2 linked regions of the Arabidopsis thaliana genome follow. The protein of the gene in region 1 interacts with the protein of each later gene in a pairwise test. Each region holds a gene or a part of one and is shown on either strand. Other genes may lie near its edges.

Region 1 (8,699 bases):
TGAGCATGGTATTGGGACGCACCAGGTACTGCATCTCAAGAAAAGTCAATCTCATGGAAATGAACTATACTTGGATGGGCGGGATGCCACAGAGAATGGAACAGACGATGCATCAGATCGGATTACTTCTCCGAATTCTCTTGAACAACAGAGTGGTATTCACGAGGCAGGCAGCAGCAAGCGTGTAGATGAAAGTCCTAATCTGTATCAGCAAGGTCCTCGAGCTTCTGTTTCTGCTTACCAGGGTTCAAATCAAGCACTCTGTGGGTCTATTTTCTCGGTTGGAGATCTTCATCATACTGATAAAGACAGCCGTCAACTCGATGATACCTCCTTATATGGTGAACAGATGGACAACTCAAACAGTCAAACACCTCATGATTCACCTTTGATGGTGAGGTCGAATTCATTGCCTAATATTGCTGACTCTTCATCAGAGAAGTCTTCACCTTTCAAATATTCTTCTCACCACTCTAGATCCTCTGATGACCTTCATGCCCTCGACACTCGCCAAACAGATAAATCTGTCCATGAGACTGATGAAGAGGTGAAGCAAGAGGAAGATCAAGATCGGGACTATGATATGCATAATTCTGGAGATAACAACAAGGAAAATCTCGTGGAGGATGGATATGATGATTCATATGATTATTCTTCTTTGGCAAAAGATTGGATCGTACCACCAACAGATGAGCTTAAATTATCAAAGTTCCTTGAAGGAGAAACAACAAACCAGCAAGCAGAATTTTCGGGAAAGGATTCTAAATTCAAGCGTATCGAAGATTGGGTCAATGACCTTCAGCATGTAAACTTGTCTGAGGAAGCTGATGAAATAACAGGGTACGATGATGAGTTGCCAAGAGAACCCGTCGTGTTGAATGAGCAAGCAACATCTTCTGCTAAAGTAGATGCCATCAAGTTAACTCCTGGAATGGAAGCTGCGAAAAAGTATATATCCTCTCTAAGTGCTTCTGCAACCACAGCCCAGCTGGTTAGTCATGGTCTGGTTGTGATACCATTCCTCAGTGCATTTGTTGGTCTGAGAGTTCTCAATCTCTCAGGAAATGCTATAGGTAGCTAAATTTTCCCTTCTTGCTAATCTTCTTCACATACTGATTGTTTTTGTTTCTTCTATTTAACTGGCCTTATTACATCTTTCAGTTAGAATAACCGCTGGTGCTCTTCCTCGAGGTTTACATGCATTGAATTTGTCGAAGAACAGTATCTCGGTGATTGAGGGCCTACGTGAACTCACTCGGCTTCGAGTATTAGATTTGAGTTACAACCGAATACTGAGACTTGGTCATGGTATGGCCCGACCTTTGCTCATCGACATTTCCTAGTTATCTGCTTTTATATGAAAACCATGTTTGATGTATTTCCCTTTTTCTTATTTCTTGTTGACTTAGGTCTGGCTTCGTGCTCCTCTCTGAAAGAACTATACCTAGCTGGGAACAAAATCAGCGAAATCGAGGGTCTTCATCGACTTTTGAAATTGACGGTCCTGGATTTACGCTTCAATAAGTTTTCAACCACCAAATGTCTTGGCCAGCTCGCTGCAAATTACAGTTCTCTTCAGGCTATAAGCTTGGAAGGTAACCCTGCACAGAAGAATGTTGGTGATGAACAACTGAGAAAGTACCTTTTGGGACTTCTGCCAAATTTGGTATACTATAATAGACAAGGCACTAAAGATGCTCGGCTCGGGACAAGCACACATCAGTTGGACCGAGGCCTTAGATCAGAGCTCAAAAACAGTAGCCGGAAGAGTAGCCATGGTGCATCCAGTTCTCACAAACCTGGATCCTCCACAGCTCGTAAAGCACCAGCATTGCAGAAACGGTCCAAGGAGAGACGCAGCCGTCTTCCACCTGTGGGACACAAACTATCTCCAGCTGCTTACGAGAATTATCACGTTGCTACTGGTGATAGATTGTCTAGTCTGAGAACTGAGCTCTCCATGCGAAGAAGTCGAAGTGAAGGAACTCTCGGACCTATCTGATCTCTCTCTCTCCCTCTTTCATTGCCTGCGATTTCCTTAGCGAGGTAACGATGAAGATGTGATAGATACACACTTTCTTCCCTTTATTCATCTTCTTCATCTTTGTGTTTTGTTGTTGTGCATTACATACATCAGAAGCTTTGATTCTTATAGCTTCTCAATAATGTCTGAAATTGGAAACCATGGTATACATTCTTTTCAGCACAGTCTGAGTCTTGCAATTGTTTTCATTAAGTAATGGGCTTGAATGGATCTTGTATATCACAATCTTGGGCCGTTATGATGCTAGTGGGCCTAATATGGGTTAGTGCAAGGGATTCATTTACAGTAAGAACAAAAGCAATTGAATGATTTAAAGACTGTGTAAAGTGGTCCAAAGAGTATCATATTGCCTGCCTGCAACAGAGATTCTGGCAACTGGATCCATATAAGTCGGATAACGAAGTCTCATAAGACAAAATCTTATTCCTGAAAATTGAATTCATTGTTATCTCGTGACCACATTTGTTCATTAATAAATAACATAACCATAGGGTTATATACACTACACAAGAACAATATTTATTGATTATTCCCCCCAAGTGAAACAACTTAACTCCACAAGCCAAAACTGTAAATACAGAACATGATTGATAGGTAGATAGATAGATAAATACTACAGACTGGTAATTTGTTTTTCTTTTGAATTTTTTGAGTTTTGTGTTGTGGTCCAAAGGAACAAGCAACGGAACAGAACCCGAGACTTTGTCTTTGATCATTCATCACTCTCTTGTCTTCCAGGAAGAGAGAAATGGTTTATTTTTGAAGCAGAAGAAGATGGATGGAGATAAGGGGAAAGGAAGCAAGTGTCATTTTCATAAGGGGACCAGAAGTGGTTTTTGAAGTAGCTAAGTGATTGATTTCATCTGACGATTATGTTTGACCATTAACCACCTTTTTCAGCTTAGTAACGACGAGTACTAGTTTTCCTCCTCTTAGGTGAAGAAGAAGCTGTGATTGTGATGCTCTTATCGCTTTCACAACTCGAGAATTGCTGATCAAGCACATTTACTGCTGTTTCAGTGCTTCCTTCGTTTTCTCCAACTATAATATCTCTCTCTTGTATTGCTTTGTAACACTCCATTAACTCATCCTGCAACCACGGTTTAATGCTCGCTTAGTACCGCGATGAAAAAAAAGCTCGATTTGAGATGGTTTACTTGTTCAAGACTTCTTTACCTTATTTACATATGTGCATTGGTTGATTCTGTTACTGAAACATGGAAACTGTAGAGGACAGAGCTCGAAAGAAGCAAAGAGAAGTGCCGCGCCTGCAATCACCGATGGTTTAAACTCGAGGAAACTGATATCTGCAGCGTTTTCAAACAGATTTTAGCATATTGTGATTATGTGATTGAAGAAAAGCAATTCTGTATTTACCATGTTGAAGACTGAAAGTAAGATCACTGGTTTGAGATTTGAGGGAATGTTTTAGTAGTAAAGGATCTTCTTCTTTGAGCTCAAAGAGACTAATGAAAAAGGCCAAAAAGGAGAAAGGAGTAACAGAGCGCATCCTCCATTTAAGAGCTCCTAGAATCACATTCTCCATTCTCTCTATCATCTGAGCATCAAAAAACTCACCTTCCACCTGAAAAAAATCCAATGTTCAGACACTTATCAACACTTTAAAACACATTCACATTATAAAGATTCATGAGTTTTAAGTTACCGGAAGATCAGAAACAGACATGTCTGGTTTCCTCATTTTTGCAGACAAAGAGACACAAGAGAGAGATATGAGCTTAAGAATCCAGGGCTTTGACTGCTGTTGACAAAACAATTTAGTCAAAACTCAGATGAAACAAAGGACAGATTCTGTCGGAAGATTCTGTTTTTACCGGCATATCTTCGCTAGACAAGAACCTGTCTAGATAATTCACAGCAAGATACGTCAGAGATGGGTCGTCGAATTTTCTTGAATACTGCGATTGTTCAGTTACAAATTAAAATAAAGTTAAGTCTTTCGATAACGATTCAGTATTCAGAACTAAACCCAGAAAATAATTTTGGTTAAAAAGACCTGAGTGATTGAAGAAATGGCTTGGTTTCGATTAGAGAGAAGAAAAGCAGAGGACTTGAGGCTATGGAAGTAATGAGAAGAAGGCATGTGTTGAAACTCGACGAGGAAGAGAGAGTGTGGTAAAGTTTCATAGTCTGTGTCGTCGTTGAAGTTATTGTGGAGTGAAGAATGTGAGAGAGGATGTTCAAGATGAAACTCCATTGATTGATGATAGACTCTTCTTAAGCTTCCTTCTTTCTTGAATTGGTGTTAGAAGATGAAGAAGAAGAGAGAGGGACAGAGAGACATTAAAAGAGAGAAGTTGTCTTTATTGTGAGATAGAGAGAGATGGTTTTCGGTCTTTTGAGAGATTTTCCACATTTATTTATTACTACCACTTTGGTTATTTTTTTATTCGATTTTTTCTCATTGATAGTAAGAATTAAGATTTTATCAAAGATAATCAAATCTTTTTCAAGAGATTCTTCTTTTGCAATATTAGAAGGAAAAAAAATCCAATATTCTCTCTTAAATTCTCTATAATCCTCTGTTTTTAATTAAGTGTAGTTCAATAATTTTTTATTTTTTTCAATATAAATGTTGTTTTCACTTTTCTATGCAAACATTAAATGTATTTAATAGTTTTTAACCAATTATATTTTGCATCATATTTTTTTATTGGTTGGATTAGTTGTAATTAATGGTGTTTTTATAAGAAATAGATAAATTAAATGAGATTTGTATGTTTTCTTAATTTGTATGCAAAAACCTTAAACTACAAATATTCATAAACAGAGCCGTTTGTATTAAAAATTTATAACCGTAAATTATTACTTAGTTGTTTAAAAAATATGTAATACACTAATACGTGTAATGTTTTTATTAGATTTTATTACAAATTAAGTCAATAATTCAATAAATAAATAAAATTGCATTTTAGTATTAATATCAAGTACCAAACAATTAAAAAATCATATTGAAAAAAAAACCAGCATAATATATATAGATATTACATTTTGTTTGAGTTTTAGATCATGTAAATTTAGTATCATGCTAAAAAAAAGTTCTTCTATGAATTTTGTGTGTGTTAAAGTTCTTTCATGAATTTGGTAAGACCCAACTTTAAAATATACTAAGGCTGGGGAGATTAAATATGATAATAACATATACTATCGTTAAACCATTTTATTTACCACATAAAGTTGTCATTTACTCATAAATAGAGCTGATGTAATGTACAGTTTTATGTATCAAAAGATTCGTCACTTTGGAATCTCGTCCAAACAGTTACAAACATTGATTAACTTTAGAAATCTTTTTAAGTCTTTGTTTTGTTTTTAATCATCATTGTATCACACATTTTAAATTACTAATTAGGTTGTGACAGCTTGGTTTTCCTTGTCCTTAAGTCTTTGTACTTACCTTTTGTTAGGTTTTGAAATTCCCAACATATATATTCAGATTATTTTTTTTAAGTCAATAAAGAAAAATTGAGAAGTCAATGAACAAACTGCCATGTGAAAACGCCATTTGAACAAACTTTTTGTTTTTATTTTTTTACTTTGATCTTTTACTGCCAAAGCCTGACTGGTCTATTTTTAGACGGAAAAGAAAACATTAATTTTATGTAGAAAATGTGAAATGCAAAGGCCTTTGAAACTCTAGATATGAACGAAATGAAAGAAAACATTGACTGACCTAACAAACATAAGAATTTATATGCTTGTAACGTAAGAAAAAACAGCTTATTAGTTTTTGGGGGTATTAGTATTTGTCCAAAAAAAATGTTTTGGGAGTATTAGCTAATAAACAACAGAAAAGTGTTGATAATAATATAGTTTCTTGTTTTTTAAACAATATAATAGTAATATGTTTCATAGAGAAAGAGTGACAATTTTTTGTTTCTTTTTAACAAATGCCAGATTTTGAACCACTTTAAAGAATAAAAAAATATTAGATATTTATTGCAAAAGAAGTAATTGAATCAAAAAACTTTTAAATAGTGGAAATATATACCCTAAATTGGAAATAAAAACCCCAAATATAATACTACAAACTAATTTTAAAATGAAAAATCTCTTTTAAATGGTGAAAATATATACCCTAAATTGGAAATAGGAAACCCAAATATAATACCATAAACTAATATTAAAAGGAATCAAAATTTTTTTTAAATAGTTAAAATATATACCCTAAATTGGAAATAGAGAACCCAAATATAATATTTTAAATTTATTTCTAACTTATTTTGGTTGAATAGATTTTATATAAAATTGTGGTATTATTATTGTCCATAAAATTGTGGTATTATTATTTGAGTGCTATTTATGTCTAAAAAACCTTTTAATGCTATTTTTATCCAAAAAACTTAAAAGTGTGCTATTTGTAGGAATTTCTCATTATAAAATGGGTACTAGTGAAGATTGAACAAATATATCACCTAAATTCTCAAACCAACCTACTTTGTTTGAACTTTAAAATGATACTTCTTTTGCTCTGTTTTTATTTTCTTACTTTCTTCCATAGATACATTACTACTTTGGCTTTAAATGGATACTAAAAAAGCGACTAAACTATAAGCGAATTACTCTATTAAATTTTTGAAAGCAGACAACAATTTACTGCAAACTAATTTTGTTTTAATGTAAAAGCAATATGAAGTAGATCCGTATCAACTTAATTTCGTATTTTTTGATACGCACTTCTAATGACTATAATTTATGAATGATAACAAACGGATTTGTCTGCTCTACCCGCTCCAACAGTCAAACCATTTGTATGTTATTTTCTTACTTCATTGTTTCATATATAGGTGATTGTCTATTTTGTTATACTAATGGTTCGATAAGATTAGGCTACCAACAAAAAAAACAATTAACAATATAACAGCGAAATATAATTTTAGCTAGTTCCCTGCTAAAATGTACTTTGTTTCTGCACTTGCAGAGTGTGTGGAATAGAGTGAGATATACACGACCAAATAATGAAATTACGTTACAAATGTTCAATTGCATGACTGCGTAATGTATTTTATCCAATTATTATATGTGATGCTAATTATACTACATTTCAAGTAAGACGTGTCAATAATAAGTTGATTATCATTGGAAACCTTTATATAGATTAAAGATATTTGCATTGACCGGTCATCTTATAGCCACAAGGATTCATCATGATCAACGCATATAATAATACAAGAAGAATTTGAATTAACAAAACCTTAATGATATATGTATGTTGCTCGATTCTAATCACTCTATATATAATTACCAAATGTATAAGGAAGACAGGTCATTTGTTTATTGTTACTATATGGAAAAATGAATCCGATGAGTTTCGTAATTTCCCGTGGAATCCAAAGCTTCGACATATGCAAATAGTAAAAGTTAAATGTTGATAACGGAGATTGCAAGTAATTGATAATTAAATGTAAATATTTGACTAATGGAGAGGGAGTTGCTAAATTCAAGATTGTTAGTTTACCTTCTGTCGTTAACAACTTTGATTATATCAATTATACACATAAATCTCGTATGACTCAAGTGTGTATATAAACTATATATAAAGCATGGGAGGTGCTTTTTTCTTTATATTACCAATTTGATAATATGAAAAAACAAAAGATAAAAAGGGATCAGGAGCAGACGAATATTAGAAGAAGCAAGCCTCAGTGACTTTATGAGCTCACTTCTTTGCCTTGGGGTGCCTTGCTTCACCATTGCGCCATCTTTTTATATTTGATTATGGTATTGACGTATTGTTTGTACGTACTATTAGTTACTCATCATTATATATGTGTTATAATATCCTAGGTCAAATATATTTGCAAATACACTAATTCATTATAAATTCCAATGGATTAATTATAATCGGGATTTTATAAACACCTTGACGTGATCCAACATATGTCTATTCTCTCTCTTGCTGCATTAAGATTATTGAAACACATGCGGACCAAATTAAAAGTATTATAGAATAAATACTATGAATACAAGGCATATATACTAATCAAACATGCAGAACCATGATAGTGTAGCAGAAATAAGACTTTAATGCAGTATTTACTTATCGAAATTATATGGACCATAAAAAGTGTCAATGTGTGAATAAAATCCAGTTAAGACTCTAAAATCTAAATTATGATTTTAAATAACGAATTTTCAAGGTTTTGAATATGATGCATTAATTGTTGCAAAAAGAGGACAAGAAAGATAGGATGCATTGGATGGAGGGAAAGCCTGAAAGCACTCCGCAATTAAATTTATTTTCATTTCTTTAAAGTTTTAGTTATGTTTTTTTTTTTTTTTTTTTATCTTTATAAACATTACTGTATCCTTCTTTCGTAAAAAAAATCTATTTAAAAAAGAACATTCGCATGTTATGCTTTTTAGCCATTACCAAAATAGAGCCGACCAGAAAAGTATTATAAGTTTATAACACAATATACAGAGTATTTATAAATCATTTTCGTTGGTATAAAATGTATTTTCAACAATTTTGCTTTACAAATTGATATTCTGCTTGTTTGTTTTATATCAATCATATTGATCATTTTAAAAACACTAGTCAGTACTCAGTAGTCATGTATATTTTTGTATGTATTAAACCCATGCACTAGATCAGTAGTAGATTTTTTTATTTTTTTTTCACACCAATCAT
Region 2 (6,899 bases), on another chromosome or scaffold:
GTTGGTAAAATTGAATTTGGTTGATAGGACCATTGGGTTTAAACGAATCTATTTTCAAAGCTGCTCTAAACAAGATTGATTTCGTGTTACAGGAACTCTCACAGTTGAGATTCAAGTTATGCCCGCGAGTTTTAAAGGAACATCAGTTTTGGAGGATATATTTCCAGCTTGTGAGGAAGATTGTGGCAAAGTAAGTACTTTCTTATGCCAAAAAATTTCGTTTGAGATGGTTCCATAACTCCAGGTGTAATGCCCTTAGTAGGTGTTAAATGCACCTTACTCTGTTGTTCTGTGTATGATTCCACTTTCATATAGAGATAGTGAGATGGGTTTTTAGCTTGTAACAAAGTGATGAATAAAGATCACGAGAAATATGAGTTTAACCATTGGTAGTTCATGGAAATTATTTGCAGATATGAGGTGCTAGCAATCCAACAGGCTCAAATCAGGAGGATGGCCATGGAAGACAGTAAAACTTCTGAAAGCAAGGGTGTATATGAAGTTGAAATGTCAGAAACAAAGCAAAGGTTGAGTACAGGACCTGCAACTCCGTGAAGCTTCGGTGGTAGAGTTGGGATGGAACATGACAGGTACTGTAATATTACAGACTACGTATTTACTTAATACAACTATTATCAACGAGAATGAAATCACTCTAAGCATCCTATGACTTGCTTTTGCAGTTTTGCTCACAAATTAACCAAACAAAAACGCTGAACCATCGGAGAAGCAGGGCTTGATCAGTAAATATTGTTCATGTGTTAAAAGGTGACAAAACCAAGAAGGTTTTGATTCTTCAGAGATGTAAATGATCATGTGAATTTAGTACTAGTATCAGACATAACACAGTGGTCTTAAACGCTTTGTACTAATAAGAATAGACATCATTATTTAATGTTTTGATTCATCCGATGAGCAAATGATCTAAAGAGGTGAAATATTTTACAGAAACCAAGAAACCTAATCTTTAGCATGAAAGGTGCTACTAACTTAGACTTTTGAAGAAATAATTCCAGAAAGCAAGACAGTGAGTGCAGTGCCAATAAAGAAGAGAGAGATGAAATCTAATCGAAGCATTTTACTGCAACCTGTATGACAGAGGAATTGGTACAAGTACCCACATGTGTGAAAAGCCCAATGAGATTAGAGTATCAAACTATCAATAAAGAAGATAGAGATAAAACCTGTGACTAAGGTTTTTGTTCAGACAAGTTCACTACTTTTGCTACTTGAATCCAAAGTATATGACTTGTAAAGTAACTCTAATGCAGAACCACAAAACTCAGACCTTCACTGAAGTAACCAAAGAACAATGAAGAGATTTACAATACTAATTTAAGTAACTTGACAGTTAAATTAGACATTTATTTGTAGCAAATGAGAGAGATTAACATTACATTATTCTTGACTAACAAGTTATACACCAACCCTAAAACCCCACAAAGTTAGTCTGTGTGCAATTTTCATCTCCTCTGTTCCAACACAGATGTTTCCTAAAGCACACAACTTTACATCGAACACAACTCATTTCATGGCATCACTTTGACCCATTCGTAACGTCCAGGCAATGGATTGTCCGAGACAATGTCAAAGTTGTACCTGCAAAACCATAACTCCCCCAAAGTCAGACCAAACTCTAAAAACTCAAGAGAATCAAGACACTAAAGAAAATGGGATTTGTACTTTTGAATGAAGAATCTCTGTTGTTGCTGTTCTGCGCTAGCAAAGAAGTCTTCAATCTCACTTTGTATTGATTTTGAATCACTTATCATGCTCCTATGAGAGAACCAACATATCAAAACTCAATCTCTGTATTGTAGTAAAAAAAAAAAGTTTGGAGCTTTAAAATGAAAAAAAAAACAGAGTTAAAGTTACCTGTTTTCTGATTCCAAATCAAAACCTTTATCTCCAAAATTACAATCAGACCTAGATATTCTCTCATTATCACCACAAGCTTCTTCCGTCGTCGTATCCGGCTCTAATTTCTTCGCCGGACCGGAACTAGCCCTAGGGTTTTTCGTTTGACATTGATTGACACTAGGAATGAGCTGTTGCTTCTGCTGTTTTCTGGTATTAGTGAGTAATGGAAGCTTCACGAGACGGCGGCTCCGGAGCTGGAGGTAGTTAAAGGAGTCTGCTTCGTCGGAATGAGAACGGAGACGGTGGAGGGCGAGGTTTTTAGCGGCGGCGGCTCTGGTACGGAAACCTAGAGCGGGTGGGTGAGATTTATCCTTAACGGAAACGGCACCGGCGACTTTTGACTTCTTAATGTATTTTCCCATCTCCGGGAAGGTGGTTTACTGAATCTCCGGTCGAGAGCGAAAGGAGGGAAGCAACGAAGGAGGAGGAAAAAAGTGATTTTTAATCTGAAAAAGTGAAAACTAAAAGGACAATGGAAATATTTATTTTAAAATCGAATCAAAAAACAAATTAGACAAATTTTTAAGGTGTCAAAGGCCCTCTCACCTGATTGTCATCATTTTCTTCGAAAAAAGATAAATCAAAATTTAATTAATTGGAATTTAATTTAATTTTTGTATTCTATCTGATTAAAACTTAAAAGTCTACTTTACAAAAGTAAATTATGAACAATATATGAGATATTTAAAGTATTAATTTGAGTTTGCTTGAGAAAAATATAGTTTAATACGCAAATTTTTAAAAAATATTCATTTAATACGTAAACTTTGAATATAATCATTTAATATATAGAAAAAAGTTATTTTACACTAAGTTAATGTTATCTAATTTTTTTACGTTGGTATAAATTTTGGCTGATAAACAATTAAGTTTGTGTAAAATAACCGGTCAATAATTTTTACATATATTAAATGTTTATATATAAAATTTACGTATTAAATAACAACTTTTTGATAATTCATGTAGTAAACGACATATTTCCGACTCTATATTTCACTTATATTATATAATTAATTCTTAGTTACTCCAAAATAACATAAAATAATAGTTCTCAAATGAAGAACATTTTTGGAAATATATATTCCAATTATTCTATACACTATATATATAGTATTTAAAGTTTATGAGTGGTTGGTGCAACAAATAATAAAAGGCTGCCGAAAGTAACAAGGTCTTTGAGAATAAAGATCATCAAGCTTATATTAATTGCTTTGGTAGACCATCCATGATTATAAAGCAATTGATATCGTGTGGAAATTTTTAGTTATTTTTGTTAAATAATGCAAAGATCGTTGTATGTGTCAAATTTGTTTTGGTTTAAGATAATAAGGCAGTTCATTTTTTGCATCCATTTTCATTGTTTCATAAAATTTGGTAGACAAGTCAACGTTAACTTTGTACAAACAATCCAAAACAAAAGCTAGCATTCAGATTTTCAAATGTCATGCAGGTTATTGGTTCAAAAGAAAAAAAGAGTCAACCATCTATTAAATTCTTCACATTTGACAAAAACGTACACATTAATTGTATACAGATACATTTGACTGTAAATTTTTTTTTTTTAAGTAAACAAGTGTCTTAAAATTAACATCATAGGGTTGATCACTTACCTAAGTATTTATTTTCTTTGGATTTATTAGCATTGGACATTTATATTGGTTGCTTCTAGTTTTATAGTTATGTAATCATCTCAACAACCGTTCTCTTTGTGATGTAATAGTTGAGATTATCTTTCATAAATTAGGCTTCAAAAGTTGACTTGTTGGTAAATTTGTCGAACAAATAAAGTTGGTCTGACTACATGCTTATACTCACGTCTAAATAGAAAAATTAATTTTCCTTTACATAAAATTTAGTTTATACTTTATAGTATCTGAAATGTAAATATATGACTCAATTTGGTTTTCTACATTTCTTTTGTGTAGCAAACACAGTCTTATTCTTTTTTGTTTCTTTGAAACAAGAATCGTGATGCGGCGACTAATTAATCTACTGTTACGTGATATACATTTATACATTAAATCAGACTTATATTTATTTATTTTTGTTAAAAGGCCTTCTTATATTAATATATATGTAACCCGTGAAACAACAACAAGGTGAGTACTGAGTAGAGGCTCCCAATGTCAATGCCCCGGTGCTTATTATTCTTAATCGAGAGGTTTATTATTATTGAAGAAGATGAATTACATTAAAAATCTCTAAATTTAAAGCTTGCGATAATTCATAATTCTCATGATTTTATCGAAGATGTCAAAGGGACATTCTCATGAATCATGATTTTATATGCTTCAAATCGTATGCATGACCAACACTGTGTACAATCTTTAGATATTTCTTTGTTCATCAGTTCATCCAAACACGAAAGATCACACTACTAGCCCATAATACTTTAAACCTGAACAAAACTTTATAACCGGTTTAAATATGGTAAAAACTATTTTCACCGTACAAAGAAGGAAGGCACACGTGCGATGACTCTCAGCAATCATGCAACAGCTCAGATCTCGAACGCTACCGAATCCCCAAAAATCAGAGATAAAGGCAAAAAAAACAAAAAACAAATAAAGGATCTGCAATAACACTCTTCACGTCCTCCCGCCCTTTTTTTCAGGGCGCCAAAAAAAAAAAAAAAACTGTTATCACAACACGCTCGTACTGAAAAAACTTTTTCCTTTATTTTCTTTTTAATACAATAATAAAGTGTTTTAAAAAAGACAGAACCCGAGAAACGATTTCCGACGTAAGAGCAGTCATGGGTTCCACACTCCGACCAATCACATCGTAGCTGCCTCACACGCACTCAGAGGAGCGAATCTTTCACCTTGATGGGGTCCCTTGAATCCAGTTACTATCTATTAGCAATCCTTCAAGTTCAAGCCAATATGTATATTGAAAAGCTTTCACATGCCTCAATTGTTTCAAAAGTTCACTCTTTTTTACATTTACATGACTAAACTTATTCTTTTTCAGATAAATACCGGATAATAACTGAAAGAATCGAATAAGTGTAATTTAAGATATTACAATTATTATTATAACTGTACTTTTTAAAAAAAAAATGAATGATACGGATAACGGATTCAGTATGAATATTGAATAATATGGGTATTTAAATGATCTAAGAATTTAATTTATACATAATTTTATATATTCTTAAAAAAGATTTTAATCATCTTTTTTTTGTGCAAAAAAAAGTTTTAATCATTCAAACAAATAATTTGGCTAGTTAACCTTTTAGTAACTATTGTATTCAATTATCTTGTCTCAAATGGATAATTTCTTCTATCTTTTTTTTTGTTAAATGGATTCTTTACACTAACAATAATAGTTGTGTACTAATGAGAGGAATTAAAATAAATCACACTTTAAAGGTAATATAAACAAAAGAGGTGACTTAACAACCACAAATGCAAACAAACTTTGTTAAGAAATAAACTTTGTTTAAAATGTTAAAACCATAGACTTCTCAGGAGAAAATATATTATGAAGTATAAATACAATAACAAACGCAAACACAAAGCGAAAGCATATGCATTAATACTTGACTGCTATTTCATTCTGTGCTTGATGACTCATTAGAAGAACCAGGAGGCCCTTCCTCGCCTTCATCTGTATCCATGCCTTCATTTGAGATAACGGGTCCGAGAAGGATACCGATAGAATTGAAATTGATCAGAACCTGAGGAGACCGTGCAAGCTCAAGCCTGTGGTCAGGAGTGTGTTGCTGGTTGAATCTCCCTGGAACTTTCGAAGGAGTCTCGTAACAGTCTTTGCAAAGGTCATACCCAATTTCCTCCTTGCAGTCTTTGCATCTGTATCGATCCCCTATGATTGGATACACCTGTAGCAAACCGCACCAGTGTCAAATTACGATTCACATATTTTGGTTTCACAACTAACAATCGGGTTAAGGTAATAATGCACTTACCCCACAAGAATCACAACCAGCTCCAAAGTGAACATTTGATCCAGGGTTTGCCAACCAGGGATCATCATTGTTATTGTCGTTTGATAAGGACGGGCCTTCTTTGAGATAGCTTTGAATATCTAAACATCAAGATAAAACGATTACAAACTGTGAGTCTCTGTGTATAGGTCTCACATATTTTGTGTAACAACAAGAACTAAGCTTTGAGAGCACAAGGACATGATACATGTCGATAACTACAAAATGGTTCAAGGCATGAATGTCGGACTTACTTCCTTTGCTATTATGGGCGAGCGTTTTCTGAACCTTACTGCTTCTTGAATTGTATTCTTCAGGAAAGTTTTCCTCCAAAAGCTGTTCAAGAATCAAACAAACTTTTGGAAATCCTCTTGGGTCACAAACATTACACTCTTGACATTTGATCTTTTCGCTTTCTTCAGCCATATCTACTACACATCCTTCACAATACACTGGAAAAGATAAAACAGGAAATTAGCACATAAAGCGAATACTCATGACATTTATCGAAATCAAACATGTAAGATTATATACCATGTCCGCAATTGAGAACTACGGGTCGTACAAGCAGCTCCTTACATGCTGAACAGAGCAAATCATCTTTCGAAATCTGCTTACTGACTTTGTTATCCTTAAGTAATTCATTTTCATGAACATTAAGAGCTTTTGCATCTGTGGGTTCTTGATTTTTGGGGATACATGGAATGTCACCTCTACTTGATGAACTAGATAATAAGTTCGCTGCATTCGAACACTCTTCCACCTTCTGTTTATCTACACACATCAAATTGTAAGCAGAAAGCATTTTACTAGACAGAAAAAGGATCTAATGTGTGGAACTCTCACCAGAGACATTGAGAGAATCTCCACTACACACAGACAAATCCAAAACAAGATCAATCTGAGGAGAAAAACATTCTCGTTCTTGCTCTTCCTCTGAAACATGACATTAACAAATCAATAACCAACAAAAATGACACTTGCATAGAACAACTACAAAGAAACTGCAAGCAAGAACTCACTTAAAACT

What was found.
Region 2: the proteins of CYCD6;1 (region 1) and ICK3 interact in a protein complementation assay, tested with the Arabidopsis thaliana proteins (one large-scale study listed by BioGRID).

What each region holds. Positions count from the first base shown.
Region 1 is NC_003075.7:1,429,430-1,438,128, forward strand, and holds CYCD6;1 (Cyclin D6;1), read right to left. Parts: upstream 4,433-8,699; 5' UTR 4,263-4,432; coding exon 4,062-4,262; intron 3,964-4,061; coding exon 3,880-3,963; intron 3,807-3,879; coding exon 3,711-3,806; intron 3,630-3,710; coding exon 3,422-3,629; intron 3,352-3,421; coding exon 3,221-3,351; exon of another isoform or gene 3,135-3,220; coding exon 2,946-3,134; 3' UTR 2,415-2,945; downstream 1-2,414. Other genes in the region: AT4G03260 (Outer arm dynein light chain 1 protein), read left to right, coding at 1-1,073, 1,162-1,308, 1,410-2,002.
Region 2 is NC_003074.8:9,056,373-9,063,271, reverse strand, and holds ICK3 (Cyclin-dependent kinase inhibitor family protein), read right to left. Parts: upstream 2,437-6,899; 5' UTR 2,283-2,436; coding exon 1,876-2,282; intron 1,777-1,875; coding exon 1,684-1,776; intron 1,600-1,683; coding exon 1,530-1,599; 3' UTR 1,269-1,529; downstream 1-1,268. Other genes in the region: AT3G24820 (BSD domain-containing protein), read left to right, coding at 93-190, 414-555; PRT1 (proteolysis 1), read right to left, coding at 5,477-5,764, 5,852-5,970, 6,124-6,321, 6,404-6,643, 6,716-6,805, 6,892-6,899. UniProt on the Arabidopsis thaliana protein: Inhibits CYCD2-1/CDKA-1 complex kinase activity without interaction with the complex.